Coturnix japonica: one gene and its partners. The protein of the gene in region 3 interacts with the protein of the main gene of each other region in a pairwise test. Links are inferred from orthologs where the notes say so. Each region holds a gene or a part of one and is shown on either strand. Other genes may lie near its edges.

Region 1 (6,405 bases), on a different chromosome or scaffold from region 3:
CAACAATAGGATCCCATTCTTTCTTCTGCAGCTCTGCCAAGGCAACTGGCTCCTCCACACGATAGCTGGGACATTGCACAACAAAGCCATGTGGGTGTTCACACACAAGCTGTCAGACTGCTCCCAGCCAGACTGCAGCACTCCTGAGAAGAAAGTCTGTGCCCTCCGTAGACCACAGTATGGGGAGCATAGACCTCTTGTTCACCCTACCTGCAACAGCTGGGACTGGGAATAATCTCTCCATTCAAAGCTTTTTATTGTTCTAGAAAGGACAGTTCTATGCAGCTATATAACAGGGCTACAATCTACAACAGAAGACTGCAGATTACCTGAAACCAGCCAAGGGATGCAGCAAGATTTAGTGATCCATGGGACAAATCCCACAGGGCCCTTCCTGCTGCCTTGCACGCCCAGTGGCTCAGCTTAGCACTCACCAGCCACCGCCCTGCCCAGCCCAACACAAACAAAGCCACAAAAAGTGAGGTGAATCTGGTTTCCCTCTCCCTTCAGGAGCAAAGCAGCTGCCAGTGGACACCTCAGAGGCTGAGATTGTGAGACGTGAGCTTGGGTAGGCTGGATCCTGCAACCCACAGGAGCTTTAAGGAGCAAAGGGCATTTTACTACTAGTACAGGTAATCTAAGCTTACTACACCTTTATGCTACTGGAGTGCCAGGGGACTGAGCTGACATTCTCCCAAGCCTTTCTTTGCTTTTCCCACTACATTTCTTGCTGCTCCTGCTCCCTGTCCAACATGGACATCTCCAAACAGATTTCAACAAAGAAACAGGTCCCTGTTCTTTGTATCTATGCCCTTTAAATGCATGGAGTTCCACTAGGTTGGTGGACATAGGACTCGTCTAAACTAATTCAAACCCCTGGGCCAAAGCCAGGACAGAGCAGAGCCCTGCAATGACTTGGTTAGAACAGACATTTTCCCTCAGTTCTCTCAACCACTCTACAACAAGACAACCCCACCTCTGTGCCAGTGCATCCCGCAGTCCCTTACCAGACAGTGTCAGTCTCCAGGAACTTCACAGCTGCACGGATCAGCTGCACCTTGTTTCGCTGAGTGGGATTGTCCAGAGCTGTGTTGCACAGTGTGGTCTGCAGGATAAAGGCAACTGAAATCACTGTTATCTAAAGCTCAAGGAAGCAGCAGTTTCCAGTGTACTAGGTCAAGATAAGCAGAAGAATTTGGGACAGACTGCAAGAATCAAGGAGCTTACTTAAGAGGGAAACATAGAGTCAGAACATGGCTCATATAATAGAGTCTATCCAACCTGTTCATACCCCTTGCTATCCCCAGAAATGCTCTCCATCCCCTTCTCAAACTCCCCAGTGACACGGGTTTCCCTCCCAGTCCTGTAGCCAGCATCCAGCTGCCTGCTCAGCCTTAAGTTATCCACAGTACTCAGCCAAGGCACTGAACTCCTGTTCCCACTTCAATTGACATTAGGACAGCCTGGTCTCTCTCTGTGTTCTGCCTCTGGAGACCATTTTTGTGCTTCAGCACTCTGACCTGCTGTGCTCACCAGGTGCATAGTGTAGAACTTGATGGTGTCTTTCTGAGAGTCCCATTCTGTTGCCACTGCAATGGCCAAGGCCTCACTGGGGACAGTGAAGAGCTTGGCCTGGGGTGTTTTCAGCTTCCGGTGGTCCAGGTTGATTTCAAAGCCTCCTGGGGAATCAGAGTAGAAATCCTGGGGAATTAAAGAGGAGCAGGCACTAAGGAACAACAGACTACCCCATAGAGGGAACAAGCTCAGAGCTGGAGCTGAAGGGAGCAAGGAATCAGCAATTTTCCCACCAACATCAATGTTTTGACATTGCTCTTCCCCAGATGATGCTGGAAACTTTCCCACCACATGGTTTTACTATGGATGAGGACAAGGGCAGAGCATGTGGGTGACAGACAGCCCAGCTCACAACAGGGGCTGCAGACACAGCACTGCCTTGTGATGGTAACCCCCGTGTGAGTACCAGCCCTCGCCTGCCCCAGCAGCTCCACTCACCTTCTCCTTGTGAGATGCTCACGTTCTGGTAAAACCGCTTCCTCTCTGGGGGGTTGAAAACAGAGCAATTGAAAGGGTGGCAAGGGGAGGTTTGTCAGAACACAGGGAGCCCTCAGAGCTGCTGCAGCCCACAGAACAGCCACAAAATCCCACTCATTCAAGCCCCTCTCCATTCCAGTGAGTTCTATTCAACCTGGGAGGTGTCACAATACTGGTGACATCCACAGCAATGCCCCAGATCTCCTGACCACCCATAGGAGCAGATTTCTTGCAGACACCACTTGGAGGAACCATGAACCCTATGTGCAGCAGCAACTGGATCATGTGTCAGACACGTTGCACGTGGCAGCTGAGTCACTGGGGAGGAACCACTGTCCTCAGCTCACCGCAGCCCACACGTCTCACCCAGAAGATTCCCTTGACAATTACAACCAGCTCGTAAATGCTGAGCCCATTGAATCCACCTCCTGGCTGTCACTGAACTGTGCCCTGCCAACACGGGCCCAGCAGAGAGAAGGATGGGGATCCACTCAGCCTCCTACAAGCTTCAGGGCCTCAGGAAATGCTGCAGTGCTGGAGCACAGCTCTGGGAGGATTCAGGCACCTCAGCGTGTTCCCATTGGCCTCATGATACTCAATGAAACCCTGACTCCCATCCTCGTGTTTCCAGCAATATCTGTAGAGGGGCTGCACAGCCCAGCACGTGCCTGGGAGGGGCTGGTGGAGCTCCCCGCCATCCCACCCGCAACCAAAGGGAACCTTCAAACCCACTGATGGAAAAGCAGCGCAGTGACGCCCCACCACCTCCTTACCCACCTCGGAGCCCATTTTCCCTCTTCCTCCTTTCTTCAGCCCATTCTGAAGGCCGGAACCCAACCCCTCCCCCAGCCAGCAAGAGCTGACCTTGAGGAGGGGGCTCCCACTAATCCCCCCCCACACACACACACACCGACACCCCCCGCGTTCCCCCGCTCTCACACGGGGCTCCGGGCTCCTCCCCGCGGGGCCCACAGCTCCTCACCTGCGGGAGGGGCGTATGTTCGACTCCCACCCGGACACAGCGGGCGGCTCCGGGCTGCCACAGCCGGGATGCGGCCCAGGGCCTGCAGGAGGCGGCACATGGCGGCGGAGGAGCCGAAGAGAACGATGAGGAGCCGAGAGGAACGATGAGGGGCGGCGAACGGAGCTGGAGCGTTGCGGCCTACCCCGGCTCGGAGCGGCCTCCCCCGGCTCAGCTTGTCGCCCCGGGCGCCGCCATGTTGCCCCGCTCCGCCCAATGGGAGCACAGAACGCGCTTTGCCCCTTCGGCCTTCCCGTCGCGTGAGGCGCGAGGCGAACAAACTACATTTCCCAGCAGCCTCCTCACCGTAAAACCTGCCGGGAAGGAGAGCTCTCCGCCAATCGGAGCTCCGCCCCGCCTTCTCGCCGCTTCGCGAGGGCCAATGGGAGAGCGCGGGGGCGTTGCCGGGAGGCCCCGAGCCAGGCGGCGGCGGCGGCGGCCTGGGCGTGAGGGGAGCGGAGCGGAGCGCGGCCCCGGTGGCGGCCGCTGAGCCCCGGCCACGCTGGCGCCCGGGGACCCCCCCGAGATGCCGGTGCGCAGCGAGCGGGGCCGAGCGGGCGGAGCGGCGGGACCGGCATCATCGGCTCCGTCCGGAGCGGCCGCCAGCAGTTTGGTGCCGCCGCCTCCCATCAACACGGCGCAGCCCGGAGTGGCCACATCCCTGCTGTACAGCGGGGCCAAGTTCCGCGGGCAGCAGCGCAGTAAAGGCAACGCGTACGAGGTGGAGGTCGTCATGCAGGTGAGGGACCGTGTCCGGCGCCCACAGGGCCCCGCTGGGCCTCAGGCCTTCCCTGCTTCCCTCCCTTCCTTCCCTTCCTTCCCCTCTGCTCCCCGCTGTCCGGGTTCCCCTCGCCTTGATTCCGCCCGGCCCCGATCCCCCCCATCTCCATAAGCTCCTCCCTGCAGCCCCGGCCCTTCCTGCAGCCCCCACCCGGCTCTCACTGCCCCTCACTGCTCCATCCCCTCAGGGCTGATGGGACCCGGGGTCCTTCCTCTCTTTTCCTCTCACACTTTTGCCCCTTTTCTCCTTGTGGCTGCTGAGATACTTAACAGCAGCTCTCAGAATCACAGAATGACCCGGGTTGGAAGGGACCTCAAGGATCATGTAGTTCCAACCCCCTGCCTGGCAGGGCCACCAAACATACACATTTATTACATCAGGTTGCCCAGGAGACCCCATAGATCCCCATAGAGACCCCATAGATCAGGTTGCCCATGGCCCCGTCCAACCAGGCCTTGAACACCTCCAAGGACGGGGCATCCACAACCTCCCTGGGCAGCCTGTTCCAGGGCCTAACCACTCTCCTAGTGAAGAACTTCCCCCTGACATCCAACTTAAATCTTCCCTCTTTTAACTTAAAACCATTTCCCCATGTCCTGCTATTGCCAGCAGGACTCTCCTTCTCGTTCCCCTCAGGCCTGGGGTGCCCGTGTGCCTCTGGGCTGCCATGAGGAAGGGTGGGATCCTGCCTCGTGTTGGGAGGTGCCCAGGAAGTCCCGAGCAGTGGGACAGCCTGTATTTCAGGCCTGGCTGGAACTCAGCAGGGATCCAGGTCCCTGTGCTGGGCTTTGTGTTCCTCATCCCATGGTGCCAGTGGCTGCGTGAGGAACCAGGGGAGGGGTGCAGCAGTTCTGCTGTAATGGGAATGTGAGCAGACAGTTCTGCAGAATGGGGCTTTCCTAATCCTCTCTGGAGTCACTGTCACCCTGCGTGCTTTATTTTTAGTCAGAGGTGCTGGCACATTCAATTTGGGTAGAGGTGTGGAGTTAGTGCATGGGGAAGCCAGGCATTGATGCATGTTTTCCTGTAGCAAATCACAGCGCTGTTCCTGCTGTGAGTCTCTTGGATCGGGGCACCCAGGCTGGGTGTGCAGCAGTGCTGCAGCCTGGTGCATGGCTCGGCATTGGGGAGCAAAGTCAGAGCCCCAGGGTCAGTAGATGGGGCAGTGTGAACTGTGCCCTCTGCTTTCACATCCAGTCTTCTACTTGTCAACAGCATGACTGTACCCACTACAGTTTGTTCTGACGGAGACATCCTATGGCTGTTTAGTTCACTGCATGCTGCTTTCTCGCAGAGGCTGGCTCTATCTTTGTGCTAAAGACGCTGCTCTGTGCGTGTCAGATGAGAAGAGATGGCTGCCTGCTCTCCCTGTTACTGAGCGCAGAGCAATGTGGCTTTTCTTTGATCACAGGTGGGGAAGAGCCATCTTCTCACAGCTGATGTTTGCACTTCCCTAAATAATTCGCTTCTTGCTTTGAAAACCAATCTGGAGGTGTCAGGGGAAGGCTTGGAAAATCCCCCTGCTTGAAAAGCGCTCAGAGCAGAAGCATCCCACTGCTTCATTTCTGCATAGCAGAGGAGGTGAGATGCAGCCTCCCCCCCGGCCCTGGGGAAGGGGTGACTGTGAGGTGGATGTTCAGTACCAGCTGAAGCAGAACTGAGCCTTGGAAACTCTTGGGGTTAGAAATAGCTTTGGATCAATGGAGTGCCTTCTTGTGCATGCTAATAGTAGGACTTTGCACTTTTTTTCCTAGCACGTGGACATGGAAAACTCCTATCTCTGTGGATACTTGAAGATTAAAGGCCTTACAGAGGTGAGTGCTAATTGCAAAACAGCATGGGAAGATGCTGTTCAAAGGCTTTTCTTAGTGAGGTAGGAGAAGCTACCACTAGAAGGAGGTAGCAGAGGGATTGAGCATACAGCAAAATTGACCGCTAAGTAGGTTAATGGCTTAACTCTGCTGTTCCTGGCATATAGAGCAAATATGATGGGCCTTGATGGGAGACCTGAAAGGAGGGAAGCTTGTCTGGCATCCCTTAGGGTTTGAACTGAATCCAGCCTGACCCTGCAGTCAGCTTTGGACACACCTCCAGCACGCTAGGAGAAAACATAAGACCCAAACAAGTGAGATCTTTATGTGCTTCTGTCCATATCCGCCCAGGGTGGTCTGCTCTGTGCTGAGCAGTCAGTGAGAGGTGTTTCATGGGTGTGACACTACTTACTGTGCATGTCCAAGATTCTTTAGTAGGATCCTTGCTGTGAAATGCTGCCTTTTGCTGAGTTCTGGTCACTAAGTGATAAATCTTACCTCTCTTCTCTCCTAGGAATACCCAACCCTCACTACTTTCTTTGAAGGGGAGATAATCAGTAAAAAGCACCCTTTCTTAACACGCAAGTGGGATGCTGATGAAGATGTGGATCGTAAACACTGGGTAAATAAATTGGGGGCCAAATGTGGGTCTGATGCAGTCCTCGCTGAGCAGCTGGTGTAGAGGTGAGGTACCGAGAGCGTCCGTGCAAGGAGCTCTCCTTTGGGGTGCCTTCCTTCCT
Region 2 (6,258 bases), on a different chromosome or scaffold from region 3:
CCTGACATTTTGAAGCCCCGTGAGAGCTCAAATAATGTTTATAACAGAAATTATTTTTCTAAAGCAGTTTCAGAAACAGAGAGAAAACAGAGATACGCTTTTTCAAATATATTTGTAAAACTGTAAAATAAAATAAAATAAAGCACCTATAGCCAAATCCTTCCTCATTTGTTCTGGTAACCAACCACAGAGTCTGTAAGAGTGGAAAGAATTGTTTTCTTAAGCAGGGTGGCCATGGTTACAGCAGGACAGCTCCCCATCTCCCAAACATTCACCTTCTAGTAGTCTGTCTTGGATTAGATAAATATAATATATATGTTCTACCTTAAGACTTTTTCCCACAGTAATGCAGTGGTTAAATTCCTAGAAATCCTAAGATCTCCATAGTGGTGCATTTACTTTTTCAAGCTTATCCAACAGCAAATTCAAGTAAAGGTTATGGTTGCAGCTGAACAAAAATGGATAACAGAATGTGGGCATGAAAATATAGAAGTTTAAAACTAATTTTGGAAATTCAGTTAGCCACTAAACTACTCACGTTTATGTCCAAACAATCACTTCTGAGGAAGTGCTTTCCTCAGCTCGTATGACAAACAGCAAAGAGAACTGGGTGACCCTCTTACTCAGCAGAACTGTGTGAAAGGAAAAAAAGTCATCAAAACACATGACAAGACCAGAATTGAAATCTGTAATTAACATCTTCAGCGGAGTGGGATATTCATTATCTGCAAGTAGAAACACAAGAAACAACCAGCAGGGAAACAACCAAGTAAAAGTAATAAGTATGCCTTCATCAATGACAAATGAGAAGAAGGGTTTCTGAAGAGAAAGCATTGTACACACAGCACGGCACTGCTTTGCTGTGTGTACCCAGTTTTCAAAAGACCTTAAAATACTTCAAGCTGAAAAGTGATACATACCCATAACCATAAAGTATTCCACTACCTAGACAATCACAGATTTCATCTCAGCTTCCATATTAAAAGGCAGTGTGATGAGAAACTAAAAATGCTGTTTTTGCACTGCTGCTCTGTAAGACAAGTGGCAATTGGATTTTAATCACCAAGGCTGATGTTGAGAACAAGCACAAACCCAGTACATTTTAAAACTTCTGGCTTCCTTCAAAGGTTGAGGCAGAGTGTTTAACACAGGGAATCCTGCAGAGCATTTCATATTAAGTCAGTATGTCAAGGAACATTTCTAGAATCCAGATACAAGTAAATACTCTGAGTCTACTGCATGTTTTCCATGTTCTTAGAGGGAGAAACAAAGAATTACTGATGCAGTGGCAACACTGGAGGGTATTTTCTAGCCAAAGTTCACATTGAACCTAAGCAGAGTAAGCCTTTCTTTCTTTCTTACTCACACATTCGTTGAACACTGATGTTTCTGCTGTGTAACAGGGCTTTGATGTTTTGCAGCATAATGGCAAAACCAAAAATCTACAGCCTATGTTCTTCTCCCAGGTACATGAATACTTTCTTTGGTTGTTTTGTAGATGGAATTCTGTAAGCTTGTTCTAATCTAGGGAACAGTCAGACACCCTGCATGCCGCCAAGGGGTTGTTGTTTTTTCTGCTGTCAGATATGCAAAAGCACTGATTGAAGCAAGTTATTCAGCAAATAGGAAAACAGAAGTCTAAAACAACTGCTGGTAGTCTACAAATATCCATTATTAGTTATGAAGCTTACACAATGAAACTTACTCACCTCTCTGGAGCATGGCACAACAGTGAGGTGGTGGAGTTGGCTGCAGTTTTAAATGGGAAAATGTTTTACCACTTGAGGGGGCTGTAGTACAGCAAACCCATGCAGCCTTGTGTAATAGTGCACAATGAGAAAGCCCAGCCTTGGGGATAAAACGATTTCCCTATGGCCTTTAGGAAATTTTACATTTTTAAGATACCTATTTGCATAATATTTGGCAAAATAAACCCTCAAAAAACAAACAAACAAACAACAACAACAACAACAAAACACCCTGTAGGCCCAAAGGTGCCTGGTCACAGACTGGAGGGAAGGTTTTAATCCCTCATCCAGTCTTTGTGCCATACACTGTTTTTTCATCCGACATTTAAAACATTTGGAATTTTACCACTACCCCACTTGATTTAATGCTATTTGGCAAATGCTGCTGAACAAACAGTCAGCAGTTTTCTGCTGTCTTCCTTGTTCCAAGAAGTAACACAAGGCATTTCCATTCTGCTTAATTTCAGCAAAGTATGGGAACATCCATCTGAATTCTAAGTGAAGATAGAAACTGGTTTGCATTTTCAATTAGGCTCTGTAATACTGTGCTGCTGAGGTACTTTCTTGCCAAATCATTACCATCTCTCACACTTGACCACATGGCATAATGAGTCACTGCATGTACAAGAATTAGCAATGGTGATCAATAAAAATCTAGTAAGTCAGTTTGCTTTTAAGGAGAAAACAAACAAACAAACAAAAAAATAAATAAAACAGACTACCTCAGGTTTGAAATACAGTCATCCCAAAACATTGTACTGAATCCAAAGGTTTTAAAAATGAAAATCACTGCATGGGGGAAAAACAAACAAACAAACCAGTGTGAGAGATTTTCTGCTAACTAATCATAGAATGATAGAATGGCCTGGGTTGAAAAGGACCACAATGGTCATGTAGTTTCAACCCCCCTGCTATGTGAAGGGTCATCAACCACCAGACCAGGCTGCCCAGAGCCACATCCAGCCTGGCCTTGAATGCCTCCAGGGATGGGGCATCCACAACCGCCTTGGGAAACCTGTTCCAGTGCATCACCACCCTCTGTGTGAAAAACTTCCTCCTCAGATCTAACCCAAATCTCCACTGTCTCATTTTTAAAACTAAGAAGCTAACCCTTGGGGAAAAAAACCTGCCCTCTCCAAAATCATTTGGGGTAAGTGCCTTGCTCCAGCCATACACCTTCACAGATTCAAAACCATAGTCCACTTTTCCTTAGTGCAGAAAACTTCCACTGATAAACCAAGACAGAGTAAAAATGCATCCAAGTCCATTTCCCCTCTTCCTGTCACCTGTCACACACTGACTGACGCCTCTTCTTCCCCCAACCGGGCCCGCCCAGCACCCATCCCGCGGTGCTCGGACACTGCGCCAGGCCCCACCGCCTCCCTCGGCCTCACCCTCGAGCAATATCGGTTAAGAGAAAGCTGTGTCGCTGGGGAATATGCAGCAATACGGACCCGTACCCCGTTACCTCCGCGCTGGGCCTCAATGCGGCGCAACCCTCCCCACCTCCCAGGCCGCGCTGCGCTCCGCCATGTCTGCGAGCGGGCCGGGTAGGGGGGGGGGGCAGCGCGGCCTGGTGCCGGCGGGACCCGGGGGGAGCAATGCCACGGCCTTTTATTCTTTCGCATGCATTGTACGCAGAGTATTCACAGTGATTCTGGGAAAGATGTGTATTTCTGGCAAACTTACGGGCGTATGATAGGGTTTATTCGCAATTACGGTGAAAATCCGTATGATTTTTACGTAAATGAGCTTGGTTTTATTCACTGATGAGGCCTATGCTGCCCTCTACTGACAAGAAAGGCTCCTGCCTCTTACCAAGGACGATTCCCAGGCAGAAACAGCCCTTTTGGTAAATACGTGAGTGACGTAATGCTTTTACAGTGGTCAACCTCGTTCCGTGTATTATACACAACTGGTTACGCAGTTGAAGTCAGGCTTCCTTTTTTGCCTTGTTTTTGTGCAGCAACAAAGTGTGGGACAAGTCTGAAGTTGTACAGAAGAGGAGCTGAAAAACTGGAAGAAGACAGCATGGCTTTTCAGAACTGGCGCAGTCTTCCTTTAGCAGGGAAGACACAAGGAGCATGATTAGCCCTGTGTGAGGAGTCTTCCCAGGAACAGAGATCAGAACAAAGGATGCCACTATTTGAGGGAGGTTCCTTACTCACAGCCTTCTCCATTAAACTATGTTTGGTCTAATTAATCACTGTTCCAGAAAATATAGGGGCTGGAGCATCTCTCTTATGAGGAAAGGCTGAGTGACCTGGGTCTGTTCAGCCTTGAGAATAGACTGAGAGGGGATCTGATCAATGTCTATAAATACCTAAGGTGCGGGAGGCAAAGGGATGAGGCCAGACTCTTATCAGCAATGTGTGGTGATAGGACAAGGGGAAATGGTCACAAACTGAAACATAGGAAGTTACGTACAAATGTGTGTAAGAACTTCACAGTAAGGGTGACAGAGCACTGAACCAGGCTGCTCAGACAGGTTGTGGATTCTCCTCTGGAGATGTTCAAGACCCACCTGGACTCTTACCTGTGCAGCCTGATCTATGGAGCCTGCTTTGGCAGGGGGGTTGGACTAGAAAAGTTCTAGAGGTCTCTTCTAGCCCCTACAATTCTATGATTCTGCAATAATGCTTTTTCAGTTACTCCTAAGTAAACCAAGGGATAAACATGATATACTTGTTATATTCATATACTTGTGTAATGGTATATATACATATCTTTGTGTTTTTGCAGGGTTTTCCAGGATAAAATCAGTGCTACAGTAACAGCTTGCTTTCCTTGAGATTTCAATGTTGGCTGTGCTAAGTATCTACTTCTCTAAAAAGAATAGACTTCTATTAAACAAGATAAGATACTCTGCCAGCTGATAAATTGTTAAATATCCACAGAAATATTTGGGAAAATGTTGGTTAGACAATTGGTGAACAGTTAATCTGTGCCATCAGACAAGAAACTTGCAAGATTGCCACAATGATTACTTTGTTTATTAACTTAGATGTACATTTATGAAAGAGTTTGCAGTTCCTGAGAACAGTGCAATAATAGAATCACAGAACAATGTGTTTCCTTTTAATGAAATAGAAATCTTTCTTCTAACAGTTCTGAAGATGTTGTGTATTGGTCAAGCATTAGCAGTGAAATTTTGCAGAGATGTACTCCCATTCAACAAACATTTATAGTGGAATTATTTGAAAGAAAATATGTATGAATTCCTTTAAAACCTTCTTCCTTCAATTTGTTTCCCAAAGGATGTGCTTTAGACTGTCCTTATTATTGCCTATTCTTGGAGTTGTAACAATTGACTCTTCAGAACAGCCCAGACAATATGTGTTCTGGCAGAAGGGCTGATGGACAGGCATTTCCTGTAAAATCCCTAGACACAAGCTCCAAAGCTGTGGTTTGAACTTTCTGAAACCTTGCGTACAGGTAATGGGAGCAGCTGTTTCCAATGAAATGGAATTGGGGAGATTATATCCTTCCTGAAGACCTGAAAGAGAACTGGTAAGTGATCACTTGCTAGAATCGCTTCTAGTGGGGGAGGCTAACTTAAGTTCTGCCCTTGGTAACAGTACTGTAGAGCAAAGTGTCTGTAATGAAATCAGAAGAGTACAAAACGTGGCTGAGAACAGCTACCACAAGCTACACAAACATGGCTAAGAATTTGTCTCCGTATTTTCATCAGAAAGCTTAAGCACCAAAGTTGTGGTAAATGGTAAAAAAAATACCCTTGCTTCCTGACTGAAAATCAAGAAATGACGGAATTACAAATATTGATACTAAAGATACAATTAATCACATAGAGAACTGTAGTCTTTATTATTATTAATACTTCTTACAGCATTCTCTGTAGGTTTGCAAAGTGTTGAATTGGCTGCAGCGTAGTTTTGTATTAAATCCCTCTGATAGCATGACTGTAAAAGTCAAATGAGAGGTGGCAAAAGTTCAGACACTCGTTATTGTCATAGCTCCAGAGGTGTCAACAGAGTTTTGGCATCCAAGTTTAGCACCAGCATTCCATCTACAGCCAGCAGAAAGCAGGGGAGTCAGAAAATCAGGTTTGGAAGATGTGAAGTGCTTGAAGGAGCTGCTGGTTTTGCTATTGTCTGAGTACAGAAGGAACAGCAGCAAATTAAATGTACCACCTCCTTTGTGCTATGCAAAACGGTTGCTATCTGCAAACTGCCTCCTTTGGGTGGCTCCTGCAACATTGTGACTCCCAAATTCAGCCTGGGAATCATATGAGAGAGCATTTAGAGCTGGGCCATGACAAAGCTTGTCTGGAGCTACTCAGCACTTGTGCTCACTATTGGGGTTGTTGGAGAAGCACCATCTTAGTGTGGAAATAAAGAGAAGCATATGAAGAAAAAAGAATGAAACTATACTATAAGTTGGGTTAGGGAAATGTTATTTCCTTTAACACGCATCAGTATTTCCATGGATATCACCAATATTTTCTTGCTGTCAATCTTTTCATTAGTATATTTCATGAATTTCCTTTTGT
Region 3 (5,666 bases):
ACATATACTAAAAGTTCTAGTTGAGTTCCAGCTTCCCAGTGGGGTCAGTAATAGAGCAGTTCAGCCAAATGTGGATAATTGCTCCTGATGCTGCTTGATCCGTAACAGCCAATGAGTGTAACTTTACTGCCCCAAACTCAACAAGGTATGTTTTGGAATGAAAGTTTTTTTATGTAATACTTGAACTACCCTGTACTGAAGAATCATGAGAATTCTTAAATGACATAGGTTACTCTGAAAGTAATGCCTCCTACTTATTTCTGTGAAAACTACAACAGATATGAAGCACATGGTAACACTATCAGACAGAGCAAATTATGAGCTTCAGAATACTATTTTTCAATGGAGTCACCACCATTGGCCACGCATTTTTGCCAGAAATGAATTGTAGCCTGCATGCCACACTTATAAATTGGCTGTCATATGGCTGTTGTATGGCTGTCCAGAACATGACTTGTCTTTCACACTGCTGTTGTCAGTGTTCAGATGTACCACTCACCACTTCACTGTGCTAACACCCACTGTTAGCACTGTTAGCACATCCACAAACATTCAACAAGTGTCAATGAAGGCCTGTGGCTACAATTCAGTGGCACACCTTTGCTTCATATGCACTTCCGTGCCAGATGCTGTTTTGTCATACTGCCCCTCTGCTGCCATCTGTTGCATGGCAACAACATGTGATGAAATATTGGTGGGAAGCTTCAGTCTCTGCTGCTATACCACCAACATCTGCCTCTGACATCATAGGCCAACATAATAAAATAGGAGACGTTACTTTCAGAGCAGGCCTTGTAAATTCTGCTCATGGCTTTATCTTTCAGATGAAAAAGAAAGATGATTTTAAAGAAATATTAAAAAGGAGAGTTCTTCTACATTATTTCTATAGTTATAGCTCTGTCCAGCTTTTTACCTCATATCTTGACAAAGCTGCTACTTAACAACTGTGTAAATAAACAATGATATGTTGATTATATAGTAATTAGCGATATCATTGGCACTTCCATAAGTGCAAACTCATTAGCACTGTCTTCTAGTTTGAATTCAGCTTGATTATGTTTGGTCTAATGAGGCACCTTCATGACGATTCTGCATTAGCTTTCTAATCTAAAATCTAGCAAAGAGCTGATATATTCTGTACTCAAATGAACTTCTTTGTTGTTATGCACTGCTCTGTCAAAAACTAAGTCTTATTCTAGTACTTTGCTTTCTATTACTCCTGGTGAATTTGAACACCTCCTATGAGATTTTCCCAGATTGCCTGATGCAGAGAACTCTCAAGACATCAGTAGTTTGGACTCTCACACGTTAGTGTTGCTCAGCCCTGGAGAATTGTATTATTTATGTAGTGCTTTGGTGCATAATCTCTTTCAGAAGTAATGGTGGTATTTTCCTAGACTAGGACACTGTGATGGGAGCACTGAAAAGTTTTCATGTTGCTGTCAATGAAAATACTTGATTAAAATACACCTTTCTCAAAATTGAATGCTGTTTATCTACATGCTCAACAGAGCTGACTACACTGACAAAGACATAACATCATGTCTTTCATGTGTGATTTCTAAGATTTAGTCCATAACTCATCTAAATCTTGTTTTTTCCTCATCTCCGAGGCTGCAAGATTTTGACAGAAAGGTGATATTTTCATCACTGAGGGCTTTTCTATATATCCAAATTCAATTTGATGTAATCTGTCAGAACTCTGCCTTTTGTCAGTAGGAAACAAAATCCCTCTGAGTGATACAAGTCTTCAATAGACCTATTCTCATGAATAAATTATCGATATAGTTCTACTCTAGCAACATACAAATATCAGAAGCTGTCAATTGCTTTCTCGTTCTATCTTCTGACAATGCAACTTCTCACTGAGGTTTTGTAGTATCAATACCAGCAACTGTGCATGGACATAGTCTAGCAAAGTAATGCCATCAGAGTCTGTAAACAAATTATGGCAAGCAAAAGTGTTGTTCAGATGTAGCCAAAGGATATAGCTTCATGCTCTGTTTGCCTCTGTATGACTTCAAACCTGTCAACTTCTTGTTTTTATGCACTGTGGCAGCCTTTGTCAGCTCACTTGCCTTCTTCCCCTATATTTTGGCAAATCATCTTATCTCTCTGTTTCACATACAAAATAGTCTTCCTGGGCTACAGAAATCTGTTCTACAAAAATATCCCCTGTAAATGTAGTCTACTCTTTCTGTATGTCATTGTTTTCTTAAAGTTTCCTTTTAGAAACCCTTTAGACCTTCTGGTTTAACTCTCTGTATTCAAAATCATCATGCTGCATTTATTAGGTAAGCAGTTTCATCTCCTGAAACAATGCTGCAACTGCTCACTTTGTTACCCTTATATCTGAGAAGAGTGCAAACTATTTTGCACACCTCTGTAAAAGGATTTTTATTTTGAAGGCTATCTAGATGCTTTGTTGGTAAATGCATTTTCTGTCTGAAAAAGGTCAGTTTGTTCACTAATGTTTTTAGCGGTCATCAGATTACTGACATTTTGCTGTAGCTGAGTTAGAGGAATAATGCCCTTTGCTAACAGTCTAAGAAAAGTTTAGTGCAATATTTGCTTATGTTTTGTATTTCAAGATTCTCTAGTTATGCCGAGACCAAATGCAAGTCATCAGTGCATGTTCAACAAGGCTGGTTTACCTGTGGTGGATGTAGTTGTGGATCCTTACATTGCAAATAATCTCCGACCACATCAGAGAGAAGGAATTGTATTTCTATATGAATGTGTAATGGGAATGAGGTAAGAACATAATTATCCTTTTGGCTTTCAATGCCTATAATATTTTCACGTTCCATCTTAAGAATTAGACAATTCAAAGGGGAGCTTATGAAAAATAGATCAGCTAATTAATATTAATAATCTTTCCACAATAAAGGTTGCACAGGTTTTTTTCTGACTTCTGTGTAGCACTGTTTGCTGTGACTTTGCTAGATGTGATGAGATGCTGGTTCAGCAAAGGGCCTGTCAGTTCTGCTGAAGATACCACATCTTCTAAACACAGATACAATCTGACTCATGCTGAATCACACCACTTTCTGGGGTTTATAATTCATTTAATTCATGATTGTATGATCTATAGTTGAATGTGTGGAATAGAGAAGATGAAGAAGGTATGTGCAGTGAAAGTAAGAGGAGGTATATACAAGTGTTAAAAGGATTATATCTTATGTTATATTTTAAATTCTAGAAGAAGATTTAAGCTATTTGGTTTTGGAGGGCTAGTGCATTAATCTAGAAAATGAGGAATTTCACTCTAAGGACTTCTGGTCCTTGCTGGCTTCAGAAAACATATAACCATGTAGTAAGTACAAATAGATTCTTTAATAGCAAACGAAATGACCATGAGAAACAGTTGCCTAAAACAATTGTGAGTAATTACAGATACGTCTTTCAAAGTGTTACCATAGCCTCTTATATGTTACAGAGTTAGTGGCAGATTTGGAGCTATTCTTGCTGATGAAATGGGCTTAGGAAAAACCTTGCAGTGCATTTCACTTGTCTGGACTCTTCTGCGTCAAGGGGTCTATGGATGTAAACCAGTACTAAAGCGAGCACTAATTGTCACCCCTGGGAGTCTGGTAAAAAACTGGAAAAAAGAATTTCAGAAATGGTTGGGAAGTGAAAGGATCAAAGTCTTTACAGTTGATCAGGTAAGATTTATTTCCTAAAGGACATTAGGTCCTATCTGGCTCAGAATATAGGTCTCACCAGGTTTTTTTTCTTCTTTTTTTTAAGCAGAAACCTGAACTAGTGATTCACTATTAAAATTTATTTGGAATGCTTCATTTCCCTTTCAGAGCCATACGCTCATTTAGCTGTCAGCAGCTGAAGATCACCTGCCTATGTAGCATAAGTCTCATAGTTCACCTTTGCAAATGTAAAAGGAGACATTATCTTCCTTGTCCCTCCAGTAAGGGACAAGGTCCATAAGCTTTCTGTTCTTCCTTGAAGAGCATACCATCCTTGCTTTACGTAACAGAGATTCTAGCTTGACTGACTTGTACTGTGTTTCTCTGGTAGTTCCTGTTACTCTTTACCAAAAACTTTCTAAATTTATTTCAGCTATCTGTTTCTAGTGATTTCAGGAAGTTATTCCTTTTAATGACACTGATAAGAGTTAGGTTTCTGTCTCCTGTAGAAAAGCCAGCAGAAGCAGGAAGGTGATGGTCCCCCTGTATTCAACTCTGGTGAGGCTGCAACTCAAGTACTGTATTCAGCTTTGGGCCCTTCACCACAAGAATCAATGACCTGGAACATCAAGAAAAGGGCAGTGAAGCTGTGAAGGGTCTGGAGCACCAGCCTTACAGGGACCAGCTAAGGGAACTGGGATTTTTCAGTCTGGAGGAGAGAAGGCTGAGGGGAGACGTTATTGCCCTCTGCATGAAATGAGGTTGTGGTGAGGTTTGGGTCATCCTCTTCTCCCATGTAACAGAGATAGGATGAGAGGTTATGGTCTCAAGTTGTGCCAGGGGAGGTTCAGGTTGGGTATTAAGAATAATTTATTTTCAGAAGAAGTGGTGATGCATTGGAACAAGCTGCCTGGGGAGGTGATGGAGTCACTGTCCCTGGAGGTGTTTAAGGAAAGGTCAGATGTAGTACTCAGGGACATGGTTCTGTGGGCTGTATTGGTGGTAGGTGGATGGCTGTACTGGATGACCTTAGAGGTCTTTTCCAATCTTAATGATTTTATGATTTTTCCTTGGTCCTTATTGATTGTACCATTGAGTGTACCAGTGGGAGGAAGTGGAGACACTTTACATTCTGTATAGAAGAATGAATATTTCAGATGAGATGGAAGCATTCAAACTATTTATAAAACTCTTTTGGAAGCTGTACAGTACATTATAAAAGCAATTATTTGAGATCCACTCTTATAAGCATCAAAATCCTGAAGTTATTGAACCTACTCATCGTCCACTGGGGCCAATCCACATCCACTTCATTAAGAAGTGCTTTTTGCATCACTCGTTTTTCTCGGTAACTTGTTTCAAGATGTGGAAATGAAGCAAACTGACTTGTCAGGGACTGTAATTTAATATAGATGAGATGGAGAAATACAGAATTTTCTAAGGGTAGTGGATAGAAGACAAAATATAATAGGATAACGTTATTACCTGAAAAGGTGATTAAAAATAATTGAATGTTTTCTTTCAATTTTTTTTGAATAATGTTGGGAGGAAAGAAATCTGGATTTGCTGACAGTTACTGTGACCCAAAATGACAGTAGCTTTTATCTGACTTTTAATTTAAATAACTTTAATATTCTTACTCATTTCACTGGAGCTTTTTGGATTGAGGACACTCAGCAGCTTTTAAGACTGTTGTTCCCAAATAGCAGTGAATACATTGTCATGCAAAAGGAAGATGCAGTATGACTTGCCTGGAGTATAATGAGGTATCTTAAAATAATTTACTGTCTATCTTCTACAGAAAACCAGCAATTATCATACTGTTATTTCTTCAGTATAACTTAAAAGGAAGAGCTTGTCTCAGTGTTTTGTTTTGGTGTTTTTTTTTTTCCCCATTCTTGCCTACAAGGAATACATTCAAAGAAGTAGCAGGCTTTTAAAATGCATTAGGCGTGTTTTCCTCATTTTAACCCCTCGCTGGTAAATTCCTTAAAGAAACAGGACATTATCTGCTTTTAAAAT
Region 4 (6,115 bases), on a different chromosome or scaffold from region 3:
GCTTATAATGTGCCCTTGCAGCCTGAAATGTTAGTCATATCCTGGCCTCATAAGAAGTGCAGCTGGCAGTTTGAGTAAGGCAATTATAGCCACATCCCCTGTCAACAGTAAAGAATGGGGTGTTGTGTAACTCACTTTGGGGCCCCCAGCACAAGAAGCTGTTGAAATGAGTCCTGATGAGGGCCCAATAAAAGAGAGCTGGAACACCTCTCCTATGAGAAAAGGCTGAAGGAACTGGGCTTCTTTAGCCTGGAGAAGAAAAGGCTTCAAGACGACCTTATTGCAACCTTTCAATGTGTAAAAAGGGCTAATAAGAAATAGACTTTTTCCTAAGGTCTGTAGTGACAGAACAACAAACAAGGATTTTAAATGTAAGGAAGGTAAATTTGGATTGGATGTGAGAAAGAGATGAGAGTGGTGAGAATGGAACAGGTTGGCCAGAGAAGTTATGGATGTCCTATCATGTCAAGTGTTCAAAGTAAGCCTGGACAGGAGTTTGGGCAGCCTGATCTAGTAAATGCTGTTCCTGCTTATGGCAAGGGGGTTGGACTGTCCCTTCTAACCTATGCCGTTGTGTGACTTTAGCAACAGAAATCTGTATAATATTCTATCTATTGATTCTGTATATGAACAGCCAGAAGGAACATAAACTTATGTTGAAAGACAGCAGTAAAATAAGTTTGCCACTTCTGCTTGAAAAATAATAATTATTTTTCTAAATGATCCTATATTTTCAGGTCTCTAACAATGCTATTTATCGTGATTTATTAAAAGAAAACACAGAAGATTGAAATCTATTCAGAAATACATACCATTTTACCCATGACAATATGAATGAATCCCTGTGATAATAAGGAAAACACATTCTACCAATGCAAACATAAATAGGGATACACAAAGGATTCAGTTTGTAAGTCTGAATTTAGACAGAAGCCTAATTGCACATGCACCTAGAAATACATAGATATACAGAACTGATATTTGAGGAGATAGATTTCATTTGAAAATACATGGGTGTCCAACCTTTTGGTTTGCTGGGCTGCACTGAATGAAAATGAATTATATTTGGCCATATATATAAATATATAATATAGTTAATACATACAAGCAACAAAAACATTATTTTTTTATTTTTTTTTATTAAAACGTTAAAAAATAACGCAACAAAAACAAAACCAGTAGGCTGGACGTGTATGAAAAGAAAAAGGAATGAAATACAGGACAAATCTATTTACATTCAACTTTATACAAACATTAGACTATCTATGAATATACCAAATTCTTCATTTCGTGCTTTTTCAGTTGCTTCTTGAAATTTTCTATCCTTGACCTGGGCATCCAATGCATCTTTATCAACCTATTAAAACAAAACAAAACAAAGAGTAATAACAACAACACACCAGCTGTTACTGGCTAAGTCACTGGATGTCATTGTAAGACATAAAAAAAAACTACTGACAATTCTTCAAGAGCCTGATAAAGTATTTTAATAGTCTCTGCCTATTAGAATCATAGAATCACTAAGCTTGGTAAAGACCTAAGATTATCTATTCCAACTATTCCAACTGTCCACCTACCACACATGCCTCTCAGTGCCACATCTACACGTTACTCAAACTATTCTGTCTCATTTCTATAACAATAAAAGAGATGTAAGTTGACCATTTGCTTCACTTTCAATCACTACCCCCCTGCTTTGCTTTCCTGATTTCTTCCAGTTCTTGCTGTTTGTTTTTTTTTCCCCCCTCAGATGACTTCCCTGTTGCCCCTCACACTTATAACCATGCACACCAGAGGATGAGAAGTGCAATAGCTATGGAGCATTTACCTCTGTCACACATGCAATTCTCATTGCATTAAAAAAGGCCAACCCACTCTGGGGAAGCAAACCTTTATAAAATACAGATTTTACGCTGTGTTCTTTTTCACCAGGGCAGAAAGCAGAGGGCCCTCCAAAATACTGTTAATGTGAATGCATCCATCAGTATTTTATCCCCACATGTTAAAAACTACTCAATCCCCAGTTCAAATATTTTTAAGCTGTCAAATATTGCCTTCATTTTTGAATTGTTGCAGACAATCACTCAGATAAATTAGTGAGAGAATGAGAAAACAAAGAATCTAAAACCTCTTATAGAGGAAATAGAGATATACTATATACCTGTATAGCTTTGTTGACTTCACCTGTTTTGGATGTGGCTTAATTGCAAACAGCAAGAACAGTCCCTTCTGTAAGCACTTCTTGCTCAGCCAACAAATATGGTATTATTAAATGATGTTCATCAAGATACTCACAGAATTCTTCCAATACTTTCACTTTAGATGTTTGTCTCGTGTAAATGGAGCTATTAAAACCTGTCCAACGGTCGTCCTACAACAGTATTTGGGAAAGACCTCCAGATATGGTGTAAATCAGCACTGCTCAGTAAAGTACACTGAGATCCAATGATCTTCCCTAAGTGAGAAATGGCATTTTACATTTAATTTTTAAGGCCCAAGAAAAGGCATCTAACAGAGAAAGTGTGTTTCCTGGCAAAGAAAGTTGAACTTTCTTACTGTGCCCACCCAACTTTTTGTTAAAACACATTATTAGCTCCTACCACTTGACTGTACCATTGGCTACCATGCGTCAGGATGCTGTACCAGCCTGTTGAGTTCCTTGCAGGAATTGCTATTTTACTATATAACTGACTGCTGCACAGAGGTCACAAGAGCAATTCCAAGGCAAACGGATCCTTCTGCTGACATGTGAGATGCTTCATTACCTGAGATCACTTAGATCAGACTGTCACCTGCTGCAACCCTACCTGCACAGTGAAGTTAACACACTGGGCTCATTTCTTTCCACTATGCGAGCTCCTAACTTCGATTATAAGCTAGGTTCTTTCCACTAAGTGAGCTTCTAACTTTGATTATAAGCTAGTTATTGCAACAGAGCCCTGAAAAGCAACTTAGCAGCAACATCTAAACTTATTTCACCTCACAACACACGCATCCAGAATGTTAACATGAGATTTCAGGCACAGTAAGGGAAAATTAACTACCACAAGTACAGAATCTTCACGGCTATTTAGATAACTACAAAGTACCACTTGATTTCCTGATACCCAAACACAAATTCGGGGTGTTTGCTGCCTCTTCCCTCCCCTCCCCGGAGCCAGACCGACTCAAATCTACTCGGCTCCACAGCCGGGCAGGCTCCAACCGCGCCCCGACCCGCAAAGGAGGCTTCGGCAGCGCCTCACCCCGATGGTCCGAACTCGCACGTTAAAGATGCGGCCCTGACGCTGCAGCTCCCGCTGCCGCCGCCGCTCCAGAGCGGCCGCCTCCTGCAGCTCCCGCTGCTGCACCGTCAGCCCGCTCATGGCGCCGGCAAGGAGCACAAGCGGCGACGATGGCTACCAAAGCACAACACACCGCATCGCCATGGCAATGAGCTCCCGCCCCCTCCCAGCGCCTGGTGGCCAATCAGGCGGGGCAGGGAGCACGAGGCAGGCTGCGGCCTTCTATGTCGGCCGCTAAGGGGCGAGGCTGAGCTTGGAGGGGTGTCAGCTTTGCCGTCGTCTGGAGGCCTCCTGCTGTGGGGTTTCTTTCCCTTCGTGTCTCCTTCTGGAAGACAAGCCATTAAAAAAAATACCTGGTGGTTTGAATTTTGTGTGTGGCCGAAGTTGGAAGGGGGGAATGGCCTCTGCACCCACTGCCCAAGGGATGGGCTACCTGAAGCTGCTGATGGTGAAGGACTTCAAGTCCTGGCGTGGGGAGCAGCTTATTGGCCCCTTCATGAGGTTCAACTGTATAATTGGGCCCAATGGATCAGGTAGGAGGCTGGAAAGGGGCATTTGGTGGTTGTGTGTGTCCTCCACTGCTGCCAAGATGGAGGTTTCTGTTGCCTTTGCCCTGCTTTCCCAGGCTTTTTCCCAGTCTTAGTTCTGGGCTCATTTTCAGGTCTCTTCAAGACTCATGAGGAAGAACCCATAACAGCAATTGCATCCAAGTGTGGGCCCAGTAATTGGGCTACCACAGCCCTATTATGGCACCGAATGGGCAGCAGCTTGTCCCCTGAGGAGCAGAACTACATGGTTTTGCACAGGGGATGTAGACTTATGTGGCCTCTTTACAGGGACCTGAGGGCTTTTTTTTTTCTTTTGTCATAAAAGTGTTTTATCATGTCAGTGAATATGTCAGATCATCTTTCAGATTTCCTTGCCCCAGGAGGTGGAGTAATAAAGAGAAACAGTAATGTCTCTTAACTTGTACTATTTGCATTGTGGAAAACAGTATGAAAATCTTCCATCGCATGACTAAGGCAAACTTTAAGGTAGCAGGCTTTGTTAGAGGCAGGGAATTGGTTAGACAGGATTTGGTCTAGATTTGATGAGAAAAATAAATGACATTAAGAAATCCAAGGAAAGCTGTTTGGGTCAAGTTGTGTAATATTTTGAATGCTTTCCCTTTCTCACATTTAGAAAAAATAGCAGTATCACCACCAAACACTTTGGACATAGCAGTTTAGTCCTCAAGAGCCTTTGCTTGTCAGTGTGTCTCAGCATAGTTAGGTGGTGGGTGCTGGAAGTTTTAAAACGGGCTCGTTTCTGCTGAACACGCTATTCAAGCAGATGGGATTTTATTCTTTACTTGGCAGAGAATAAGGCGATGCTCTAATGAGGAGCCACAAGGACAGGCTTAGCATTTGGTCTTAGTTCCCCAGTCCATTAGTTTATGATTTTGGTTTTAGATCCTGCTGCTCCTGCAGCTTACAGGTGGTCTGGCTCAGTCTGTGCTGAGCTCCACATCTTGCCCAGCATCATTATGGCACCTGTTCTTCTCCACCAGCTTTTTCCATTGCTCAGCAACAGCCAAACACTGGTGTATGATACACTGGTGTATGATAAGCACTGTCTGGGATGAAACCCAGGCAGGGGGTTGGTAGAGTGCTGTGCTAAGTCAAGCAGTGGGGGAAAGAAAAAAGTTGTGTTTCGATTCATTGGCTAAATGCAGTCCTGTTAACAATGAAAAATAGGCAGCCTTACTTCCTATTTTGGTAAAGGGAATAAAGAGTAAGTTCACGTAACCAGCTGATGGATTTGATCATATTGCTCTACTAGACTTTTATGTCAACCTATCATACCAGAGATAAATATCCCTTGCTTCACAGTCGTGCCTTATTCACTTCATTGCTTTTTGGCAGCATGTAGCTTTGTGGATAAATATTTTCAAGTCTGAAGCACAGGAAGAGTAATATTTCATCAGAAATCTCTGACGAGCACCTTGAGAACTGAGTAAGAATGACGCCCACTTCTGCTGAATCAGACTGATGCATTGGTTTTGCAAAAATGAGGTCAAATATCCCACTAGGTTTATTTTGTTTTTGTTGCTCTCCCTTTTTTTAATGTTATAGAAAAAAAAATATATTAAGGAAGTTTTGTTACTTATATACCTTAAGTTTACTATGTATTTAATAAGTGGCCCAAGGCAATTCCTCTTCACTCAGTGCAGCCCTAGTAAGACAAAATGTTGGACACCCATGATAAACAAAAAAGGGCTCTGTGAAGTAAGGACTATGATGCTGTTAGTTCAGCATAAGTAATGGCAATAAAATTTGTTCTACTGAGCTAAATAAATAACAGGTAAGTTTTTATGATGGTTTTTATTAAAGACAAGCTTTTTATCTGCTGCCACTGTTGCATTTCAGAAATGTATTTCTTCACTGTGCAATATGTTTTCACCAATGAAATACAGAATTGGAATTATTGAAGGCTTTTGTGCTTACATTTATATTTTTAGCTAATTGTTAATCATATCCCTCCTTCAGTCTCTTCTATGTCAGAGCATTGACTTGTTTGTTTCTTTCTAGGAAAATCTAACATAATGGATGCTGTTAGTTTTGTGCTGTGTGAAAAGATAGCTAATTTGAGAGTTAAAAGTGTTCGAGAACTAATTCATGGAGCTCACGTTGGAAGACCAGTTTCTTCTACAGCAAGTGTGAAGATTGTATACTGTGAAGAAAGTGGGGAAGAAAAGACATTTTCAAGAGTTATCCGTGGTAGGTGGCAGGTTATTTTGGATGTATGTTCTGTCATCTGACACCTAAAAAATAAAGACCCAGAGTAGTTAA

What was found.
Region 1: the proteins of RAD54B (region 3) and ATPAF2 interact in a two-hybrid assay, tested with the Homo sapiens proteins (2 studies listed by BioGRID). The two-hybrid records come from large-scale screens. The link is inferred for Coturnix japonica from reciprocal best matches to the Homo sapiens genes RAD54B and ATPAF2.
Region 2: the proteins of RAD54B (region 3) and TCEANC interact in a two-hybrid assay, tested with the Homo sapiens proteins (2 studies listed by BioGRID). The two-hybrid records come from large-scale screens. The link is inferred for Coturnix japonica from reciprocal best matches to the Homo sapiens genes RAD54B and TCEANC.
Region 4: the proteins of RAD54B (region 3) and RIBC2 interact in a two-hybrid assay, tested with the Homo sapiens proteins (2 studies listed by BioGRID and IntAct). The two-hybrid records come from large-scale screens. The link is inferred for Coturnix japonica from reciprocal best matches to the Homo sapiens genes RAD54B and RIBC2.

What each region holds. Positions count from the first base shown.
Region 1 is NC_029529.1:5,011,823-5,018,227, forward strand, and holds the start of ATPAF2 (ATP synthase mitochondrial F1 complex assembly factor 2), read right to left. Parts: upstream 3,457-6,405; 5' UTR 3,135-3,456; coding exon 3,035-3,134; intron 2,663-3,034; exon of another isoform or gene 2,338-2,662; coding exon of another isoform or gene 2,262-2,337; intron 2,059-2,261; coding exon 2,014-2,058; intron 1,680-2,013; coding exon 1,534-1,679; intron 1,106-1,533; coding exon 1,008-1,105; intron 66-1,007; coding exon 1-65. Other genes in the region: GID4 (glucose-induced degradation protein 4 homolog), read left to right, coding at 3,600-3,812, 5,609-5,668, 6,180-6,287. UniProt on the Homo sapiens protein: Plays a role in the assembly of the F1 component of the mitochondrial ATP synthase (ATPase).
Region 2 is NC_029516.1:110,838,285-110,844,542, forward strand, and holds the start of TCEANC (transcription elongation factor A N-terminal and central domain-containing protein), read right to left. Parts: upstream 3,457-6,258; 5' UTR 3,438-3,456; exon of another isoform or gene 3,343-3,437; intron 3,326-3,342; exon of another isoform or gene 3,203-3,325; intron 2,683-3,202; exon of another isoform or gene 1,710-2,682; intron 633-1,709; 5' UTR 539-632; intron 1-538.
Region 3 is NC_029517.1:114,212,760-114,218,425, reverse strand, and holds part of RAD54B (DNA repair and recombination protein RAD54B), read left to right. Parts: intron 1-2,591; coding exon 2,592-2,754; intron 2,755-3,439; coding exon 3,440-3,665; intron 3,666-5,666. UniProt on the Homo sapiens protein: Involved in DNA repair and mitotic recombination. May play an active role in recombination processes in concert with other members of the RAD52 epistasis group.
Region 4 is NC_029516.1:64,765,828-64,771,942, reverse strand, and holds the start of RIBC2 (RIB43A-like with coiled-coils protein 2), read right to left. Parts: upstream 3,457-6,115; 5' UTR 3,366-3,456; coding exon 3,246-3,365; intron 1,358-3,245; coding exon 1,276-1,357; intron 1-1,275. Other genes in the region: SMC1B (structural maintenance of chromosomes protein 1B), read left to right, coding at 3,682-3,817, 5,855-6,043. UniProt on the Homo sapiens protein: Microtubule inner protein (MIP) part of the dynein-decorated doublet microtubules (DMTs) in cilia axoneme, which is required for motile cilia beating.